Linked DNA regions of Tamandua tetradactyla. The protein of the gene in region 1 purifies or fractionates together with the protein of each later gene. This does not show direct contact. Links are inferred from orthologs where the notes say so. Each region holds a gene or a part of one and is shown in the gene's direction. Other genes may lie near its edges.

Region 1 (10,582 bases):
AGACATAAAGAGCCAGATTCAGAACCAGAGCCAAAGGTCAGGGAGACAGTGTTTCTGGGTATAATACTTTTGTGTGAACACTTTGAGACCCAGCTATTCTGGAAGCATTTGTGCACCCTTGGGAAAAAATGGCTCCAGGAAAGTCTGCTGGAGTCTGTAACACCTTGGGGCATAGGCAAGCCTGATGGGGAATTCCTCTACTAGTATGTCATTCTGAGCAGAGGCACTAAGCTTTCTCATTTTAAAGCAGACCCTCAAGCCTGCCAGGCATCAGGAAGACCAATACCATCACGAGTTGTAGAAAGAAACCGGGACTGTTTAGAGCACAGACCTCAAGTAGCAGCATCCAACAGCAGCCAGCAAAGATCTCTGAGCATCTGTAAAACATAACCTGGGGGTTCAAGAAATAGTGCAGGGGTTGAGAACCCTACATATGCAAGTGAAAACAGTGCGGGGAGAACATCTGGGCATTTATGTGAGTTGGACCTCATTTACAGCTTCAGTTAACAAATGTGCAAAAGTCACTACCTCTATGTGTATGCCATAGAGTGACTAAGAAGAAAATGAACTTTATAACTACAGCATTCCCTGTAAATAGTCATGGTTTTAAGGACTTTTAAACATGTTCAAATTTAAGACTTGAAGCATCTCCACTTATCTATAGAGATAGAGGGGTTTTTTTTTAACAGTAAAAGCCACTTTCATATACCTACACTTTTATAAAGAGTCATACTGATTCTACAGGAAACATTGCTAAATGTTCTTACACTCCACTGACGGGCATAAGCCAGAGTGAACTTTGATATTCTCTGCTTATATGCTACATTGATTTCAGCTAAAGCAAGACTCTGAGGACAATGTTTGATAATGAGATTTGAAGCTCACTACAATTAATGCTACATATATATATTGGTCTCATCACAGTACTTGACCCATTATTTTGTACCTGGTAGCTGCTAAAAAAATATGGATTAAGTAATGAATAGAGAAAGAAAGTGAAGTTATTAGAAAGTTCTCAACTTAATCCAAGTGAAGAAACTTGTTAGAATTTATAGTAAAGAGAGGTAAAAAGTTCAGAAAATAATTATGCTGGACACTTAGAGATTAATATTAGAAGACCATGAAATGGGCCAAAGATTTTGAGCCACGAATAGTAGCTGTTGTTTTATCATATAGCATAATGGGGATTTAGAAACTGGGAAGATTTAGACGTAATTAAGACAGAGATCCTGGTAAAACTGAAGTTCATAATTTTTTAAATCGCTGATTTCATTTTTTTGATGTATAAATAAAGCATACTGGGGTCTGTCAGTCAAGAAAATGCTAATGGCAAAATTGGCTTTGCTTGACATTTTGATGTTAAACATTTGATATGTGTTTCCACCTAAAAGGACAGATTCCAATCTAAATGGCACAATGAAAATTATTCCAAATAAAATGAAGTGCCATCCATGAGAAGCACTAAAATTTAAACTGTAGAACGATTGGCTTAAGGTAAGAATAAAAGCAACCAAAAGAATCATAAAGTGTGTAACCTTGACAGAGGACTTTGAGAAGAAAATATCATCTGGAGAGAAATTGTGAGTCCATCAAACTGAAGAAGACCCTTTTATTGAGTTAAAATTAGGTCTCATAGACTCTGAACTGGAGTCAGGCCATGCAAAGCTAAAGGCACTTGCAAGTTGAAGTTACAGGGCAGTGGAAATGATGAGTAATTAACACGGAAGAAGTCAGTCTACAGTGAGGAGAATGCAGCAGGCACACGCAAGGAGGCAGAGCCAGGAAATCAGGCAATCACTAAAAGTGGTACACAGTGAACTGTGTTCTTCTCTTTCTAGTCTCGACTTCCAAGACCCTGAGACCAGATTGTAATCCATGTTTCTGTTTTCTTTGAAATTTCCTCAAATCCTTTCCTTTAACTCAACTCTGACTTAGGCTAGTTTAAGTGAGGTGCTTTGTCTGTTTTCCTTCTTACAAACACCAGGTCTCTAAGAGGAGCATCTTTTTCCAGAGAGAACAGAAAGCAGATAGCCACGCAACTGGTTTGATACATTATATGATACATTTCTTTAAAAAAATCTGACGTTCTTATGAATAAAGTTTCCCCTTTAGTTGAGCTCTTCATGTTCTAAGAAATAAATGACTTGACTTCTGCCATGGTTAAGTTTATGTGTCAATTTGGCAAGATTATGGTGTCCAGTTGTTTGGCCAAGCAAACCCTGGCCTGATTGGTACAGTGAGAGTATTTGGAGGATTTAAATAATCAGTCAGTTGAGTCCATCTATAGCTGATTGCATCTACAATCAACAAAGGAGATTGCCTTTAGCCACAAGAGAAGTTTCATCAGATTATTTGAAGTCCCTAAAGGGAGAACTGCTGGTTTTAGCAGTCAGAAAGATGAATTTCTATCTCAACTTCATCCAGCTCATCAGAGTTCCCAACTGTGGCCTGGACTAGCCAATCTCCATAGTCATATGAGCCAATTCCTATAATAAATGTATGTATATATATATGTGTGTGTGTATATATATATATATATATATATATATATATATATAAAATGTAAGTATGTGTATATATGTCAGTTCTGTTTCACTGCAGAACCCTGAATAATACAACTTCTTTTTTTCTGGTTCATCTCAATAAGTTAAGACATTATTTATGAGTTGAACAAATGCATTTATTCACCAGTTGAACAAACATTTATAGCGAATGTAATCTGTATCAGGCCTTGTGAGAAGACTATAAGTAAAAGAAGTCAATGAGATCTATTCACTATACTTAAGGATTTCCCATAGGAGAAAGACATGTCTTAAAGAGAGCCTGCTACAAGTGATAGAAACCAGCTTAAAGTAGCAGAAGAGAGAAATAAAAATTATCCAGAGGAAACGGGCATTTCATGAAGCTAAAGGTAGGGAGTTAAGCCTGGTCTCACGTGTGACTGGAAACATAATTAATTCCCCAATCCCTCTCTTCTGTGTGTGTGTATCAGTGTGTGTGTGTGGGGGGGGCTGGCTGTCTCTCCACAGCTCCGTGTTCCCTCATCTCATCTTTCTGTGAATAGCTGCATATAGACTTTCTCTATGCTCTTGGAAAAAAATAGTTGCTGCAGATCAACATGAATTCCCAGTCCATGTGCCCAATGAAGACTCTGGAATTTCTATACCCTGAAAATATTGAGCCCCCTGCCCCAACAAAACACCTGCTTAGAGCTTAGAGAAAGAAAGGAGTGGAAAGACGAAGGTCTCACTCCATCCCCTGGTGGATCTCAGAGTTTGGTCCTTGGATGACTGTAACACCTATCAGGTGGGCAATGAGGTCTAAAAATATTTTCATAAGAATACTGAGATGTTATTTGCTTTTCTCACTGGGTAGATATTTGTCCTAATGGTGCGAGAATAGTCATGGGTACTAGTAATCATTGTTGTCTCTACCCTTGGACACTTAGAGTATGAGAGAAAGAGAGGATGAAAGGAAGAGAGGACGAAAGAAAAGAAGGAATAAGGGTGGTAGGAAGACAGGAAGAAGGTAGGAAAGATGGAAGGAAGGAAGAAAGGAAGGAAAGAAGTTTCCTTTCAGTCAAGAATGTCTTTGATGAAACAATTAAAAATTACTTTTATTAAATTTTGACCTTTGAAAATATGTCTTTTTAACATTCTTAATCCTTGAATCTGAGAAGAGTACATAAAATGCACTTCTGCTGTACACTGAAGCAGGATGGTTGTCCGAGGATGTGTAAGCTGAACTGGCCACTTTTTCCATGGAACACCATTTTTACTTAAAAGAATGACTGAGAGGCAAAGTATGGTTATTTAGACTTGCGTATTTGATGGGCATTTCCTGAAAATGAGCAAAGTGGGCTTGTCATTTCAAGCAACACAACTGACAGGATTTGTTGCCAATAATAAAATTCAAGCTTTCAGGTGAAAATTCAAATTTTGGAAAATACATATCCACCAGCATGAGTAGATTGAGAGCTTCCTTATACTTAAAGACTTTTCAGACTAGATTGATGATGATAAAAAAAATGATATTTTGATATTGTGTAATAAATGTGCCAACAATTGGAAGATCTGCATAACTCGTGAATCAATATTTTCCAAATGACCAATGAATGATGTCACAAAATTTTGTACAGACAAAAGATCAATTTAAGATGCTCAATATGCCAATGAATTTTAATGCAACAGAGTACAATCAAATAATTGACATTATTTCAGATCCACATTTAACTAGTTTTTAGAAACTAACACTATTTTTTTTATTCCCTACTCAGAATGTGGTATTCAGCATAAACACACCTAGAAAGGAGAAATCCCAGGAAGAGTAAGGCCATGGAGTTCTTAAACTCTTTGGTCTAAGGAATGCTTTACACTCAAAGTAAGATAAGAATTTGTGCTTTGTTTTTTAGAACTTTTGCCTGCACTGGAAAATGTTGCTCTTAATTTATTCTGCACCTCATGCTAGAGTAATATTAATTTGCCCAGTTCTGGTCATAAAAGTAAAGAACGGTGCCTTTTCCTCTCCAGCACCCAGAGACAAAGCATAAGTTCCAGCCCGTCCCCTCCCCCATTAAGGGAACCTATCCTGCCTCTCAAACCAGGGTCTGTTCCTAACACATGCTCACATTTCAGTGAGTCAGAAGGAAACAGACAGATATTCATCTCCCTTAAACCTGGCTGACTTCCCTCAAGAAGTCCGTGAATAGATCAAGGTTGTGTGTGTGTCAAGGTTAGTGAGCAGCCAGCTAGGAGCTCTCAGGTGATAGCTGGAATCTTCGTAAGCAGGTGTGTCCACAGACAGGTCAGGAAAATAAAATAGCTTTAAGTGTGTCAGGATTAGTAAGTAGCATTAGTAAGAAACAGGAAAGAACCTGGGGCTATAAACTTTGTGGTTGAAAGGCATCCAGGTTTAGGTTTTATTCACAAGCAGTGGCCCCTGATAAGTACTGCTTTAATACTTTAAAATACCAGACTCCAGCTGTTGCTACGACAAAAGGGCAAATTTTATTTTTACTGATTAACTCATTTTTATGTGCTTCCCATCATGAACCCCTTCACTTCAGTGTAGCAGGATCTCAGGCATTCCATCCTTTTCATAGCAGATGCTCCATAAAGATTTGCAGCGGTGGAAACAGTAATGAATAGACTAACAACTCCCTAGTTTAATTATTAAAACATCCCATTGCTTCATCAAAGTAACTGAGAGAATTCTGGTTTCAGCAACGTGCTGGGAATTTGTGGCTGAAACTTTAGAGGAAAACCAGATTTTGAGAAGAAACGCAAATATTCCATTTTCTTAAGTTTATAAGTAATAATCTCAGGTATGATTCTAGAACGTTCTTTTTCCACATCTAAGACTGAAACAATGGAAGAAAATGGTCACATGTAATTCCGACAAAGAAGGGTCATGAGTTCATGTGCAGATTCTCGTCCCTCTCTGTCTTGAAGCAAATCGCTTAAACTCAACAATCAAATCAGCTCCTCCTTTATCTCGAAGGAGTAGAACGATGATTCTCTCTCTCTCTCTCTCTCTCTCTCTCTCTCTCTCTCTCTCTCTCTCTCTCTCTCTCTCTCTCTCTCTCTCACACACACACACACACACACACACACACACACACACACACACGTTGCTCTTACTTAAATATCACGTCGGGTAATCCTAACTCGTGTGCAAAGCTTTACCCTGGGGAGTTAGTTTCTAACCTGGTCATTCTGCATTAATTTTTGTCCGGCTGGAAAAAGCAGTGAAGCCTCTCAGAACTCGCTAGGGTGTTCGTGGGTCCCAAGCCCCTCCCAATTGCTGCCAGCTCCGCTGGGCACCCGGGGGCAGAGCTCGGGCCGTCAGGGGGCGGGGGAGTGACAGGGCTGGATTTCCCCGTCGGAAGTGCGGGGGCCAAGTCCGGTCCAGTGCGAAAAAGGTTGACAGGCGTGTCGTCCTCATCTCCACCCGCTTCCGGGCTCCCGGGGTGGAACCCAGTAAGGGAGGTAAGGTGTGGCTCCCCGGGATCTGGAGAAGCCGAGGTGCAGCCCGCGGGGCGGGAGGCGGCAGGGGGAGGGGGGCCTCGGCGGGGCGGGGCCCGGGCAGATCCAGTGTTTGCCCGGACGGGAGGGGCGGGCCGGGGCGGGCCCTTGGCGCCCCTGGAGCTGCCCGGCAACTTTTCCCTGCTTTCACCCGGGCAAGGAAGAGACACCCTCGAACGGTTCCTGGGGAGTCTCCGGATTCTTGCAGCCCTCAGCCAAAGCCACCCTTGCAAACCCAGAGCAGCTACTCCCCCCCCGCCCCGCCCGGGTAAACTCAGGATGCGGCCGGGACGGACTGCGGGCGCGCCCCTGCCGCTGCGGCTATTGGTGCTCAGTCAAGGTAAGCGTGATCAGCATCCGCTGCAAGAGTGAGGTGTGGGTTCCGGGGGTGGGGAGTGTGAGGGAGAGATTATTGGGGACGAGGCAGCAAGCGGGTGAGACCCGGCTCTGATTTCTCGTGGCCCAGGCTCCCAGCCATCCAGAGCGGGTTGGAAAAGAGATCCCCCGTTCCCACTAGCCAGGGATCTCGCGTCCCCATAAGACGTATCTCACCCTAAGGCATTTCAGTGAACACTGTGGTTTTAGGAACTCGCGTGAGCACATATACATGGAGGGTGTGGGGATGATGGGGGTGTCTTGGAGACCGCGAGTCCTGCAGCCTGTCCCCACCCCTGCTCAGACAGGTGTCTCTCCGGCCCAGTAGCCCGCCCGGGTTCCTGTGGCTCCCCGGAATCCCGTCCCCGATGTCCCCTTCACCCTGCAGCACCTCAGCGCAATTCCTGGTGGCTTTCCAGAGAGACTTGGAGTCCAGCACGCTGATTTTTCAAGTGCTCTCCCAAGGGAATGAATAATGCCTCCATTTCTCATTTGAGGAAGCAACGCTGGCATTTCCTTCCATAGGGAGCCTAGATAAACCAAGTGCCTTTTTAAATACTTGGCTGAGGGTAGCTCCTCCAGCCCTTCTGCCTTCCTCTAATTGTTGCAGTGTCTTCTGTTCACGAATGTAAACTTAGGCCAGGAAAAGTTCTTTTGACTTTGTCGATCTCTGAGGCCGCAGGGAGAGGGGGAAGGGATCAACCCGAGCTCCAACCGCAGTGGTGGGAGTGGGGCTCCCGCACCGTCTCGCTTCTTTCGCTGCGTGCGCGGCTGCTGTGCGATTGTCTGCAGGACCTTCTCCTGCGTTGATCGGAGCCCAGCGTGTGCTTATGTTTAAGAACTTTGGTTTACTTGGAAGGACACTGCTCACATTTGTATCTTGTAGTTTGAACAGCTAACATGCATACACACACGCACGCACATACACACACACCTCTGATTTTGAAGTGTTTTTTCAAAGATGGCCTTTTGGGGCTTACTTTCAGCCAGTCCATATTTCTCATTGTGGAAGAAACTTGGTTCCAATCCTGCGGCTATTTTTCTAGGTCAGAGATAAGAGAGAAATAACGCACACAACACACACCCACTCCCTTCCTTTCCAAACTGAATGGGGACAATTAGGTTTTCTGTCTGACCCTGTGACTGGTGCTTCATAGATATTCTCTCCTGGGATCATTATTTCCAAATGTGTGTGCTTGGAATTTCAGTGCAAATACACCTGCATAAATCCTTGGGAATTTCTTGAGCAATTCTAGTATTATTATTTCGGGTTTGTGATTGTCGGGCAATTCTTGTATTAATATTTTGATTTTGTTACTATTGAATTTGGCATTTTCATTATGTTTTCTCTCTTTTCTCTTCCCTCTTTCTTTCTTTCAGCTCATGCATTATTATTTGGTTATTTGGCCAGACTTCTTTCATGAGTAGTGTGGAGATGAGAAAGGATGGAAGCCCTATGTCAAAGGAAAGATGGGAAGGGATATGGACCAGAGAATAAAAAGGCAACAGGTTATCATGTCCCCCAGGTTATGATTTGAAGACAGTCACACTCAGATTAACATTATACATTTCCACATGTTAATATTTATAGTATTCACTTACATTGAAAGGTTAGTTTGTAGGGCTCTGGGAGAGATTGGAGGGAATGTCTTTGATGGAATTCATGTCAGTCTTATCCTAAACACTGGAAATACATACAAAAGAGCTTTTTGGGGGGGGGGGGGCATCAACTCTAACCTAGGGATTTCAGATAAAGTAGAATTTTATATTGAAAATCATCACTATAAGATCACTTTCTTCTTATATCATCACTGTCTCAAGAGCCAGTAGAAAAATAAATCTAAGCTTTTCATTTCTTTTAATTACCCAGTATTAAAAGAAACTATGGAAATATAACATCATTTTCTTATCGTTGAAGTGTTGAGGCTTGTTCTTTAAAGAGCAGTGAGTGGAATGTGTTGCTGCCAGGCAGGTAGTCAGGTTCAGAGATTTTAGCCTGGAGTTAGTTAATAAGAACAACTCATCGCAAACAGAGGTGATTTAAAATGACATCTGAAAAAGTAATTCATGTATTTTTTCCCTCATTCCACTCCATATATTGACATACTTGAGGAACAGGTTTTTCTTACTTCAAAAGGATTATTATAAAACTTGTCATTTGTGTTATTAATTGAGGTGCCTAGAACAGCAGCAGCATTTTTTGAATGCCATAATTATCTGAGAATAAATGAAATAGCTCAATCAGTGGTATCTGCATTTTTTCATGGTTAAACCTATTTGTATAAATATTTTAGCATTTATCATTACTATACACACGTGTAATTGTTTGTATTTCTACATATTGTACATGTACAACAGTGTTATAAACAGATACCAAAATTTAAAAGCATACGTCTGTGTTTTTACATCTAGCATCTTCTCCGTCATACGTGCAAACTACTTTAGAAACACATGACCCTCAAATCACATTTTAAATCTTAGATTCAAACTCGCTTTCCATAAATCTTCTCACAGGTGTTTAAGAAAAAGCAGTACTCACAATTTAGTTGTATCACCTTTGATTGGTTGTTCTTTAAGTGCTCATAATCACTGGCAAGTTAAGGATGGAAGACACCATAAGATGTCTAGATATTCTGTAAACTAAATTATAGACCCACAGAACAAAGGTAAATGTGCTTTTAAAATACATGGCATCACTTACATTCTCTAGTGTTTTGCTTGGCTAAGGATAATCCTACCTGGATTCTGAATCTACCCTACCTAATCAGTCATCCCTTTTTTTTTTCTTTTCTTTTTGCCTGGGCAGATTCCGGGAATCAAACCCGGGACTCCAGCACAGCAGATGAGAATTCTGCCACTGAGCCACTGCTGTCTGCTCTAGTCATCCCTTTTTAAAAGTAGTATCTTCATATTCTCTCTAATGTAATTTCTCCTTGCTGTGTAAATACTCTAATCTCATAGTGAGAAAAAAAGTCTTTGTTTTATATTTAATTGTTTGGCGACTCTTTTCTTCTGAAGCAAACTCCACTTCCAGCTTCTGTTAGCTCTCAGATTTTCTCCTGCTGTCCTGGAAGTTCTTTCTTAGTCTCCATCAGCGACTCAATTGTTTGGTCTATTCCTTTTTAGTGTATGCAGAGCTACGAACAATTTTCTCTGAGCAAGTACCCCTCTCAAGTGTATATATCCGGTCAGAGTCCTCTCCTGAGCTTCAGATCTGTATTTCCATCTGTTACTAAATATCTCTACCTAGATGTCTTGTAAGCACTTCCATCTCAACATTTCCTAAACTGATTTCACACTAGCCCTCTGGAATTTTCTCCTATACCATCTACTAATGTTTAACAGCAGTGTTATTATGTAAACACTAAAGCCAGCAACCTTTTCTCTTGCTTTCAACCTCATTTTACCACACTCACTTTGTGTATATCCAGGCTATTACGGTTTTTAAATTGGTTTTCCTATTTTTAGTCTCTTATCCCTCCAGACCCTTTTCCTCATTGTCACCAATGTTCTCTTTCTAAAGAACTTATTTGTAGCCAGTCAATGTCTTGCTTCACGCATCACTCTCTTGTTTTATCCTACATGGCTCCCATCCCATGTAGGGTGAAGTCATAATTTCTCGGCATGTCATAAAAAGTCCTTCATCTGGCCACAGCCTGTCTATTCAGTCCTTTCTCCAACACATCCATTCCAGCACACACATACACGTCATAAATACAGTTGCACACACATACACATAGCCCCCAAATTATATATAAATGTCATTCTATGTTTTGACTTCACCTAATCATCCCATATTTATGTTCAAAGATTTTCCAGGCTATTCCATTAACCTTCACTGCGTTGATGCTTTTCCTTTTTCTGCATTTTCTGTGAGATACCTTTGAAGGTATGGCCAAAAGATTCTTTAGGTTTCACTGAGCAGCCCAGTCCTGTATTCAAAGGTGGCAATTTGGTCAGGGAATGGGCCCATATTGTTTGGGATGGGAATGGGGAATGAGAAGGAGCCGGAGACAGAAGGCAATAAGAAGAGTGAAGTCAGTTCTTGTGTTTTTTATGCCTCACACAAAACGTGAATTCTCAGGTTTTCATCTGAATGCAGCCTGCACATTCAGGAAGAATAATCTATCCCTTTGCAACTGACCACTGTCCAATGTCAGGAGAGCCAACCCCAAGCAAATTAC
Region 2 (10,889 bases), on another chromosome or scaffold:
CTTAATAGAACCTACCAGTTGGCATCCAGTGTTTAAATGGCAGGATAAAGACATAGCTGACCCCTTCCATGCTGTCCTCTAGAAACATGAGACAGAGCTGAAGGATGATAAGTTATCTCAGCAGACCGCGAGGCAAGTAGAGGTGTAAGATGGTGCTTGATGCAAACTTGGACCCTACCCAGTATTTTTATCAGCAAGAAATCTAATGTTCCAATGTTTCATAGGTTGGTATGCTGGTTTGAAAGGATTATGCACCCTAGAAGAGCCATGCTTTAATCCTGATCCATCTTGTGGTGGCAGGTTCTTTTCATCCCTATTCAATGCTGTAGGCTGAAAACTTGATTAGGTTATCTCCATAAGGATGTGACTTGTCCAATTGTGGGTATTAACCTTGGATTAGAGGGAGATGTGACCCCACCCATTCCAGGTAGGCTCTTGATTAGTTTAATGGAATCCTTTAAAAGAGGAAGCATTTTGGAGGGTGCATGGGTAGTTCAGTGGTTAGAATGCCCACCTTTCATGCAGGAGACCTGGGTTCAATTCCCGGACCATGGACGCCCCGCCTCCCCACCAAAAAGAAGCATTTTGGGAAAGTCTTGAGATTCCAAGAGAGTAAAGCCATGAGGTGAGAGCCTCATGCAGCCAGAGACCTTTGGAGATGAAGAAGGAAAATGCCCCAGGGAGGGAGGTGGGGAGTTTCATGAAACAAGAAGCCTGAAGAGAAAGCCTGCAGATGCTGCCATGTTCACATGTGCACTTCCAGTTGACAGAAAAACCCTGAACTTCATCGGCCTTTCTTGAGTGAAGTGAACCTTGGTGCCTTAATTTGGACATTTTTATAGATATACTTTAATTGGGACATTTTCATGGCCTTAGAACTGTAACTTAGCAACTTAATAAATTCCCCTTTTTAAAAGTCACTCCATTTCTGGTACGTCGCATTCTGGCAGCTAGCAAACTACAACAGTTGGGGAATACCATCCAGCAGCCCAAGTCTGACACTTTCAATGGAAAAAAAAAAACATGTTTTACATTTGGGACTTAAGGAAAATGATTTCTGATAAATTTGAGAAGAATCAAAGAAAAGCAATAACCTCTGATGTGCTTTTCACCCTCTTGTCTTGAGTATATTGTTTTGTGACATCGTGTCCAAGCTTTACTAAATAGACCTTCTCGCTCAGAGTCCCTGTGGTTCTGAGGTGCTACAATTAGGGGTTGCTCTGCAGATGCTGCCAGACAATAAAAAAGGTCAGAAGTCACAGACGTGATTTTGACCCTTTGTCTTCTTCATTTGCTAAACCATGTGTGAAACGGGTGAGAAGGAAGATTCATTATAACCGAACTAATTCACACACAATGAAACTGACAGCACAAGACATTTTAACGGATTCTTTCCCAAGGTGCTACATTAGAAACTTGTCCTGAAAACATTCAGATTTCCATAAGAGGAATTTTATGGGCCCTGTATCTTAACATGCTGGCATATGGACAGTTGGCTTCAGGTCACTGTCCCCCAGCTCCCCACCCACCCCCCGCCCACTCCAGCTATGGGACATGGAAAGGAGGAAAACCACTTGACTCTCTAAGCATTCAGCAAGGGTCGGAGGGCTGATCTGCCTTCCCACGGCCTGCTGGGAGGACAGAATGGAATGAGGTTTGGGTTCTTGCTTTTGGAAGCTGCAGAGGTGATGTCATTAACACTCGGGCAGACGTCAGCAGTAATAACTGCGGGCTCCTTTTGAGTATTCTGCAGCTGATTCATTATCTGACAAGTTCCTCAGGCAGTTCTAAATCTTATCTTAAAATTTCCTGCCACTACTATCATGAAATTTTTTGAAAGCTTGGTTGAAAACCAATCTTCTTTATATTTTTAATAGTACTATCTTAAAACTAATATCACTACATCCTGTGATGCTTTGAGCTGAGTTCCGATCATTTCAGTAGACATGCAATTATAAAAAGCCACTTGTTACAACTTGCATTTAGATTGTCTTTAAACAATCAAGCTGGAAGCCTTTCTCTACTGCTTTTTGTTCAATTAGCCCTCACAATTGTTCTAAATTAGTAGCATTGCATAAGAATCTTGTCAGCATCACTTGGACAACAAAAAAATGGAGGAAACTGGAGAACCAAGCCTGCGATGTTACCACTGGGATAACCTGAAACCTCTACTGGTAATCTCCAATCTTTTGAAAAAACCAGAAATGAGGAGTGTGCAGGGATGCTGAGTGTTTGGGAAAGAGAGGATGAGTGAGTGAGGCTTGGAAAGAGCCCACATTGAAAATCCAGCTGCAGCAGCAGCAGCGGCAGCCACCAACAAAACAGCAGTGCTGTTGGTGAGCTAAGTAAGCACTGCCTTCATAGAAACCATACCATCGGCCATCTTGGGAAAGAGAAAAACGATGGGTTTACCTGCTTTAAAAAGAAAAAGAAAGCCAACTCTTCCCAGAAGAGGCTAGCAGTAGATTTTCTGACTTTTGGCTGGTGCTGAGTGGAATGATGGGTTTGGGAGAGGAGGAGGGACCGGGTTCAGCTGTGGTGCTTTGTTGTAAAAGGCAGCTTGGCCTTTGCTAGTCTGAAGAAAGATGGAGCCTGGATTTCAGGCTCACTTTCGGTGAACCTTTGCCACACAGTACAGTCCACGTGCAGGCTAGAAGGAGGGGGAGGGATTCTCTTCAGTCTGAGAATGAGTGTGTGAGAGTGAGGTGGCATCCACATCCTCGACTTCAAGTCATTGCAGTTTCTTTTTTTTTTCCTAGAAACAAAAAAATGGGGTGTGTGGGGGTAAGACGTTGCATTTCATAAAACTGACTGAAATTCTGTCTACTGATGCAGTACAAGAGATGTTAAAAAAAAAAGGGGGGGGAAGATGCTCTTGAAGTTTTTTGGATTTCATTTCGTTTAGTTTCTAAATTATTATCTTTTAGGGATAACATTGACAAATGGTCAGAGCTCCCATCCTGATATTTTCATCGAGGCATCTTTCCTAAATATGGTTCAACTATGAATGTAGAATGTGGGTGGGGGGAGAGAAAAAGAAAACTCTGGAGTTCAAGGATATAGAAAAAATTAGAACACAATTGTTACAAATAAAGACTGCCGACTTCAAAAACAAAAGCCGCAACCCAAACAAAACAAAAGTTTAATGCTTAGAATTGGCAGCACAAAAGGAGATCTCTCTCCTGACTTTGTATGATGCATGGCAGTCTGAATGCTCACAGAAAATGGTGCCAAAGAGTTTAGGAAACAAATATAAAATAAAAGAAAATGTGCATATGCATAAGCAAAACAGCAAGTTTCAGGTAAGTATTTTGGATTGCAAACAAAGATAAATTTAATGTTCAAACCATCTGATAAAATAGCCATTTGGAAACCAAAAAAAAAAAAAAACAAGAACCTTGTAAACATCTAGTTTCTTGCTATTCAATAGGATTAATTTCAGTAATTTTGCTACCAAGTTGTCCCGCTGGCAACACAAAGCCATGGGGCCAACACCAGGCATGGATGGGAGAACAAATATACCAATGAAGGACTGGTCTTTATAAGTGTGCAACTGAATGAGGGCAAAAGGTACCCTGCTCCTTAGCTGGGGAGTCACCAAAGACACCCAGTGGAAAATAAATCCATCAAGTGGCCTGGGGAGAAAACTACCTGGAAAGCCTGCCCTACTCCCTGTAATTTCCTAAGGATTCTGTCGTGGTGTTTTTCATTGCACATTACACAGTGTGCCTCAGAATCCCCAATACCTTTCTGCAGGCGAGAAAGGACAGGCAGCAGTCAGACCCACAGTTGTTTAAATAACTATAAATGAGCCGGTTTAGTCATTTAAACAGAGAGCTGTGCTAAAGAATGTCATAATATCTGTCAGAACACCAGTTTGTGGTTTTCAAAAAGGACAGATGGGTGCGGGCTGAAAACATGGCATAGCCTCTCAGAAAGAACTGACATGGCCAGGCAGGCGGCACAACCACAAGTCCTGATGATTATCAGTTGCCTGGCCACTCCCTACAATATGAGCCAGTGTCTGTCCTCTAAGAGAATATCTGAAAATAAAGCAGCATTTAGTGTACGGCTTGAGAGTTCCCTCCGCACGGGACGGCTGCGGCAGTGTGCCAGGAGGACCACCCGTCAAGGATGGGAGGCCCCAGCCCAGCTCTGCCACTGGCTCACTTTCTGGGAGACAAGGGCACGTCCGGCAAATGCTCTGGGTCTCTGGGTCCTCATTCCTAACAGCAAGAACAATAGGAGCCCATCTGCCTTGCAGAATGGAGGAGAGGATGAAGAAATCCAATCCAAAAGTATGCACTGGGCTCACAGTGTCCCCAGAAGCATAGGTGAGTAGGTGGGGGTGGGGGGCGAGACGGAAGTGGGTAAGAAGTAGGGTCTGGCCTGGACCATTTCACAATCTATTTGGGAGGAGAGAGGGCATGTGAAATAATGGCAAACCATGTGACAGTATCTGGGCAAGCACTCAGCTATGAACTATAACCTACAATTCCTCCAGGACTTGACAGCAAGGGAGGGTGCCAGGGATCCTGAAGGGGGAGGAGGGTTTGGTTTGGCAAAGGAGGGAAGAAGGACAGATATTCCTCGCGAGAGCAGGTAGGTTGATGGAAACCTGAAGACAGCAATGAGCAGGGCTTGTTCATGAGGTAGGCAGAAAGCTCAAGAAGAGCCGTGCAAAGTTAAATACAAACGAAAAAAAAAGAAGAGCCATGGGAAATGATTGTAGAGGTCGGATGAAACCAGAAAGAGGCAACAATGAGACCAGACAGAGGAGGTGATCCAGGAACAAAAAGAAACTTTATTTTCTCTTTATTTCCTTATTTCTCATCCACAGGGTTCCAGGAGGTTTTCAAGGTGTGTAAGGAAGGTCAGTCTGGCAGTAGCATGAAAGCTGTTCAGATGACCCGCTGTGTCCAATTCGTCAAAAGTGTTTGAACCAGAGTGACTACGAGAACGTCTTCTCTGTTTGAAAGATGAATTTTACACTGATACATTTTTTTTTTTTTGCTTTTCTCTATTGGGGAGTCACGTCAAGAGCATTCTGAATGCAGTTGACTTTTAATAACTACTGTGATATTTTTACACTGTGCAGTTACTCACGAAGCCTGTATTTTGAGTGTAGTTTTCTTGATTCTTCTCATTTAGATAGGACATCCATTTCTGCTCTACATTTAGCAATAAATGTTCGACATTGGGTCCCCTTAATTGTTTTTTACACGTGAAGCTCTGAAGCTGGGAAGGCAGAAGTGGTTGTAGAGTTCATCCATCCTTATTTGAATCAATGCATTAGTTTTCTGAACTTTAGCTGTCGGTTCTTAGCCGCAAGGTGAAATTCCAGCTAAATACACTAGATGGCAGGCAATAACTACATTCTGCTCATTCCATTCTATATTAAAACAACAACAAAAAAACGAAAGCCTCAATATGGAAAACTAAGCACAGCGACCCACAGTCTTTTGTCCCCTGACCTCAGGTAAGAAAACTCAAATTTTTATGCCCAGCATCTGTCTGCACCGCACTGAAAAAGTGGGGGGCATATTTTCAGACTATTAAGACGGTAGTCTCCTTTTTTCTTTTTTTGTTTGCTTGTTTTCATGGGATTTTTTGTTGTTATTGTTTAATTGATTTTCTCTTTAGTGTTTTGTCCAAGGTAGAAAAGAAACCCAGAAATGTGGAGGGAACAGATAATGAAAGTGGAGATGATGGCATTATGAAGTGAGATTATACTGACTATAATGCACTAATTTTTTGTTTTTACAAGGTAGGGGTAGGTACATTGGGGATGAAAAAGGCAGTGGGACTTGGAACTAGAAAGTGTAAGGTATGATTAGGATGACTAGCAATGGCTAAAAGCCACACAGCATGATCACCAAAGAACCCTTGACAGGATCCCAGAAATCTCCTGGCAGTCCAGGGCTCAGAAACGCTACTAAAAGTTACTTTAAACATCTACTTTATGCCTCTGTATAGGACCATACTTAAATCAGATTAGTAGGGAAAAGCCCAAATTACACTTCAAACCTGCCTCCAATATTGAATTGCTTTGCATCGTGGATTATTATTTGTTTTAAATAACAAATCCACTGAGTGCCTATTTTGTGCACCATGCTCTACAGTGAGTTCCCTTATATTGAAGTAATAGAAATGTAATAACTATCATCTCCACCCTAAAGGAGTCTAAAACCTATGAAGCCCGTGAGACTTCTGCATATTTTTAATATTCTAACAATAGTCAATGTCCTTCTATTCATTCTCCAGTTATATTTCGAAAGTATCATAGTTTTATTTGAGCATGAAATTTGGGTGATATTCCGTTAACAATTCCCCTGATAAAGTCTCTGATATTTTTACACATCTAGTTTGAAATGTCACCAAGAAAGCTATCCATTTAAAGCTAGTTAGATCCTATTCCAAAGATTTCTTATTTCTGCACATTTCCTTAAATCTCTGGTCATTCCGAATAACCTGGAGGTTTTGAATGGCCATCTTCGCTAGGAAAAAACTGATGGATTTATTTAGAGTTATGTTTCTGCAAGATAGGCCATTGTATAGGTTTGCTCTCTCCCCGGAACTTCCTCTCCTCGTCGCGCTCTCCATATTTAAAGTGGGATGAACTGTTCCTTTGCGTAACAGCAGGCAGCGTTGGGTCCTAATAAACGAATCGCCGAGGGGCAGCATAGCGTGGTGGGCGCCCACTGCCCCTGCCATCCGCCCCATTCAGTGGCGCCTCGCTTGCTTGCTCTGTTTAAGTGCAGCCCAGCTCCTCGCAGTTTTGGGGACAATCACACGTGGTAGCGAAGCAGGGCTTCGGAGAACAGCCGCGGGACTACAGCGAGGGAGACCGCGCCGGCTGCGAGGCGGAGCCAGGCGGGCTGCTGGGCGGAGCTAGGCGGCGTTCCCGGGCTAAGCTGCCACGTCTCCCAGGCCGCGGCCACCCCCCTTCCCCCTTTCTGGGTCCCGGGGTCCGGCGAGGGAGGGAGGGGAGACCACTCTGTGAAGATCACGTCTTCCCTTAGGGGCTGAGTAAAAGCACCCTGAGGATGCAACCGCCTTAATCATTGCCTTTCACCATTTTCAGGACAGAAACTATAGCGGCCGCCAGGGGTATAAGGTTTTTGTTAGTGAAATTTCACTTTCCGGTGTTCCCGGGGAAGCCAGGCTTCTGTGTGAGCCCCATGACCATATATAGGTAGAAAACTGCAGGACGGGGGGATAAAAAAAAAAAAAAAAAAAAAAAAAAAGAGGACCCGAGGAGCAGCCTGAGTCAGTTGCCTTAAGGATGAGTGATTTTTGCAAGGGTGAGGATGAAATGCGCCTTCAACATACTTTGTTGCTAGCAGGGTTGAGTCTGCAGATGAATCAAGAGACAAATCAGAAAAAGGAAGTGTCGCAAATGCCAGCACACTCACGGAAATCCGAAGGCATAAGAGGTGTTAAACAGTTATTAAAATTCTGGAAGACTGATGAAAGACAGGCATTCCTCAAGCTGGAGGGATTTTTTTTTAAATAACTTACTGTCTGTTTCTATATTTACTTATTTTTTATTTCAAGAAAACAAAAAAAATATGCCGATAGAAACAAACTACCTTAGGATCTAGCACAAAATCTCTGAATCAGAAGCATTGTAGGTTAAAGAAATGCGAATATGGGTTCTAGGCATGAGGTGACCTTGCTGACAAGTCGAAATTATTATGTATGTGTACGATCATAGTTTTGATGTTTGTGACATATTAGTCACTGGCAGACTGAAAAATAGAATAATCAAGAATTTTAACTAGACAGATTTTAAGAGGAGGAAAAGCATGTTTAAAAAGAAGAGTTTCCTAGACTCTTGGATGAATATTTGGAAAAAGAGTTGGGAGCTTTTACGTCTATTTTTGACCCTTCCATTTTGCCAGTTTGAGTATAGCTCTTTCTACCTCATTTTTCCACTAATAAAATAGTAATCATATCTATAGCTACTTAGGTGTTGGTATTCTATTAACATTTTCTGTCGTCATGCCCATAAAGCATTTTGAATCTCTTGGAAGAAATGGATTATCATTTCTAAAAATTTTTCTGTCTCAGCCTATTATCATCTGATAATCAACATTATAAAGCTGTAACATGGAAAATTTAAACATTACAAAACAACCAAAGTGAGCCATAAGCATACTCTTGAATTTCATTTAAAATAACAACAAAAAAAGTAACTATTTTGTGCAAATTAACCAGGGGAGCACCTCTTTGGCAATGCTCTTTAAAACTATCTGAGCAAAATGATGTAAGAAACCAAATAATTACACAGTGAGTTTTTCCTTGTGTAACAGAGGGGAAATACATTTTTCCTCCAAAAAAAGAGTATTTTTCCACGAAATAGACTATCTTTAACTTTTTAATAGATATTCACATTATCCTTATGGAAAATTCAAACAATACAGGAATGCAGAAAGAAAAGCCCGAACAACCCTAAAAACCCACACTTCCCAGATATAATATCCTGCCAGGCCTCTTTCTTAGAATACACACACACATGCAATCATAATATAGATCAGCTTCTGCAATGTGCTTTCTTCACTTAAGGAATGTTGTGTAATTTTACAGATTAATGTGTATAGATCAACCTTATTCTTTTTATTAGCTGCAGCCATGGACTGAAATATAACAATTTATTTAACCCATGGCTTCTAGATGAACTCTATGGTGTTTTCCTATTACAGAAAACCCTGCAGTGAACAGCAGTGAATTTTTGCGTACATGAGCAAGGATTCCCATTAAATAAGTGCTTATACGAGGAATTTTCTGAGTCAAAATCTTACTTTTTTTTTTTTCAAAGTCTTACACTTCTAAAACATTGGTTTAGGTTTTCAAATTGTCCCCCTCCCCCCCCAAAAAAAAATCCTTAGCAGTGTAGGGGTCCACAACAGCCTGAGTGTCCAATGTATGTTGGTGGTAAGGTTTTTGCCAATGTAGTTATTAGAGTAGGTTTTGACATTTTAACCATTATGTTATTATGACCAGAAACAACCTCCTATCCCCTGCAAAAAATGACTCATTTAATCCAAACAATCAGTTCCCCTTCCCTTGGGCTTTCCACCGCAGAGGAATGAATGAGAAACAGTGCCCACTTTATTAACTACACAAGTACACAAGGATATGGAGAGGAGGTAGCATGGTATCGAGCATTTGAGGTAGAGGAGGTGCCGCCCACCCTGCTCAAGCCCAAAGCTAATCTCGCGATTCTCACACACCTTCTAACTGGTCCTGATGCAATGCGGAGCATGCTAGGTACCCCATGCAGAGAGGAAGCGGTCCAGGTCAGATGCAACAAAGAGGAAAGGTGGGCGGGGCGAGGTGGAGCCAATCGTGGGCTCATCCCTCTTACCACCCAGCGTTTCTGCCCACAAATATATATGAAGCAAATTCTCCCTCCCTGGAGGAGAGGCTAAGAAAGGCCAACGGGGCAGGGGGGGGGGGGGTGGAAATAAGTGGCAGAAATTTCCCCTCCCCTACTGTTGTTCCTGTCCATCTTCTCTTCATTATTTAAGTTTTCATGTGTTATTTTTTTCCCTTTATTCACTGGACAGTTCTGTATTATGTAATTCTACTTGTGGTAATTATTTCCTTTTAACAAGGAAATTTGAAACTGTATTTCTCTATGAGAATCAAAGTTCAAACTAGAACAATGCTCACACCTCACTACACCAGTTGGAACCTTTTGGAAACCTTTATTTTTCTCCCCCTCTGTGCTGGTTTGAAATTGCCATGTGCCCAGAAAAGCCATGCTCTTTAACTCTGATTCAGTATTGCTGGGTGGGATCTTTTGATTAAGTTGTTTCCATGGAGATGTGACCCACCCTGTGCTGGTTTGAAAGGATGTATGTCCCCTAGAAAAGCCATGTTTTAATCTAAATCCCCATTTCATAAAGGCAGAATAATCCCTATTCAATACTGTATGTTTGAAACTGTAATCAGATCATCTCCCTGGAGATGTGATTTAATCAAAAGTCGTTGTTAAACTGGTTTAGGTGATGACATGTCTCCACCCATTTGGGTGGGTCTTGATAAGTTTCTGGAATCCTATAAAAGAGGAAACATTTTGGAGCATGAAAGATGCAGAGAGAGCAGAGCAGAATGACATAACCATGAGAAGCAGAGTCCACCAGTCAGCGACCTTTGGAGATGAAGAAGGAACATGCCTCCCAGGGAGCTTCCTGAAACAAGAAGCCGGGAGAAGATGCTAGCAGATGATGCCGTGCTCGCCATATGCCCTCCCAGATGAGAGGGGAACTCTGACTGTGTTCACCATCTGCCTTTCCAGATGAGAGAGAAACCCTGACCATGTTCACCATGTGCCTTCTAATTTGAGAGAGGAACCCTGAACTTCACTGGCCTTCTTGAACCAAGGTGTGTTTCCCTGGATGCTTTAGATTGGACATTTCTATAGACTTGTTTTAACTGGGACATTTTCTTGCCTTAAAACTATAAACTAGCAACTTATTAAATTCCCCTTTTTAAAAGCCATTCTGTTTCAGGTATATTGCATTCCAGCAGCTAGCAAACTAGAACACACCCAAACCTTTTGATTAGGTGGTTTCCATGGAGATATGTCTTCACCCATTCAGGGGGTGTTGCTTATGGGAACCATTTTGGAAACAGCTTCAGTGCCGACAGTGCCCACACAGCCAGAGACCTCTGGACATGCAGAAGGAAAACACCCCTGGGGAAGCCTTACGAAACAAGAAGCCAGGAGAGAAAACTAGCAGACGTCACCATGTGCCTTCTCAGCTGACAGAAGTGTCCAGAAACCAAAGACTCCAGCAAACGCCAGTCACGTAATTTCCCAGATGACACGGGTGTTCCAGAAGGCATCAGCATTTCTTGAGGGAAGGTAATCTCTTGTT

Evidence for each region.
Region 2: the proteins of ITGA2 (region 1) and ITGB1 purify together in Homo sapiens (co-immunoprecipitation; 3 studies listed by BioGRID and IntAct, with this or other methods). This does not show direct contact. The link is inferred for Tamandua tetradactyla from reciprocal best matches to the Homo sapiens genes ITGA2 and ITGB1.

The regions. Positions count from the first base shown.
Region 1 is NC_135335.1:99,080,871-99,091,452, forward strand, and holds the start of ITGA2 (integrin alpha-2), read left to right. Parts: upstream 1-5,905; 5' UTR 5,906-5,987; intron 5,988-6,127; exon of another isoform or gene 6,128-6,183; 5' UTR 6,184-6,302; coding exon 6,303-6,363; intron 6,364-10,582. UniProt on the Homo sapiens protein: Integrin alpha-2/beta-1 is a receptor for laminin, collagen, collagen C-propeptides, fibronectin and E-cadherin. It recognizes the proline-hydroxylated sequence G-F-P-G-E-R in collagen.
Region 2 is NC_135327.1:218,123,625-218,134,513, forward strand, and holds the start of ITGB1 (integrin beta-1), read left to right. Parts: upstream 1-5,454; 5' UTR 5,455-5,479; intron 5,480-10,889.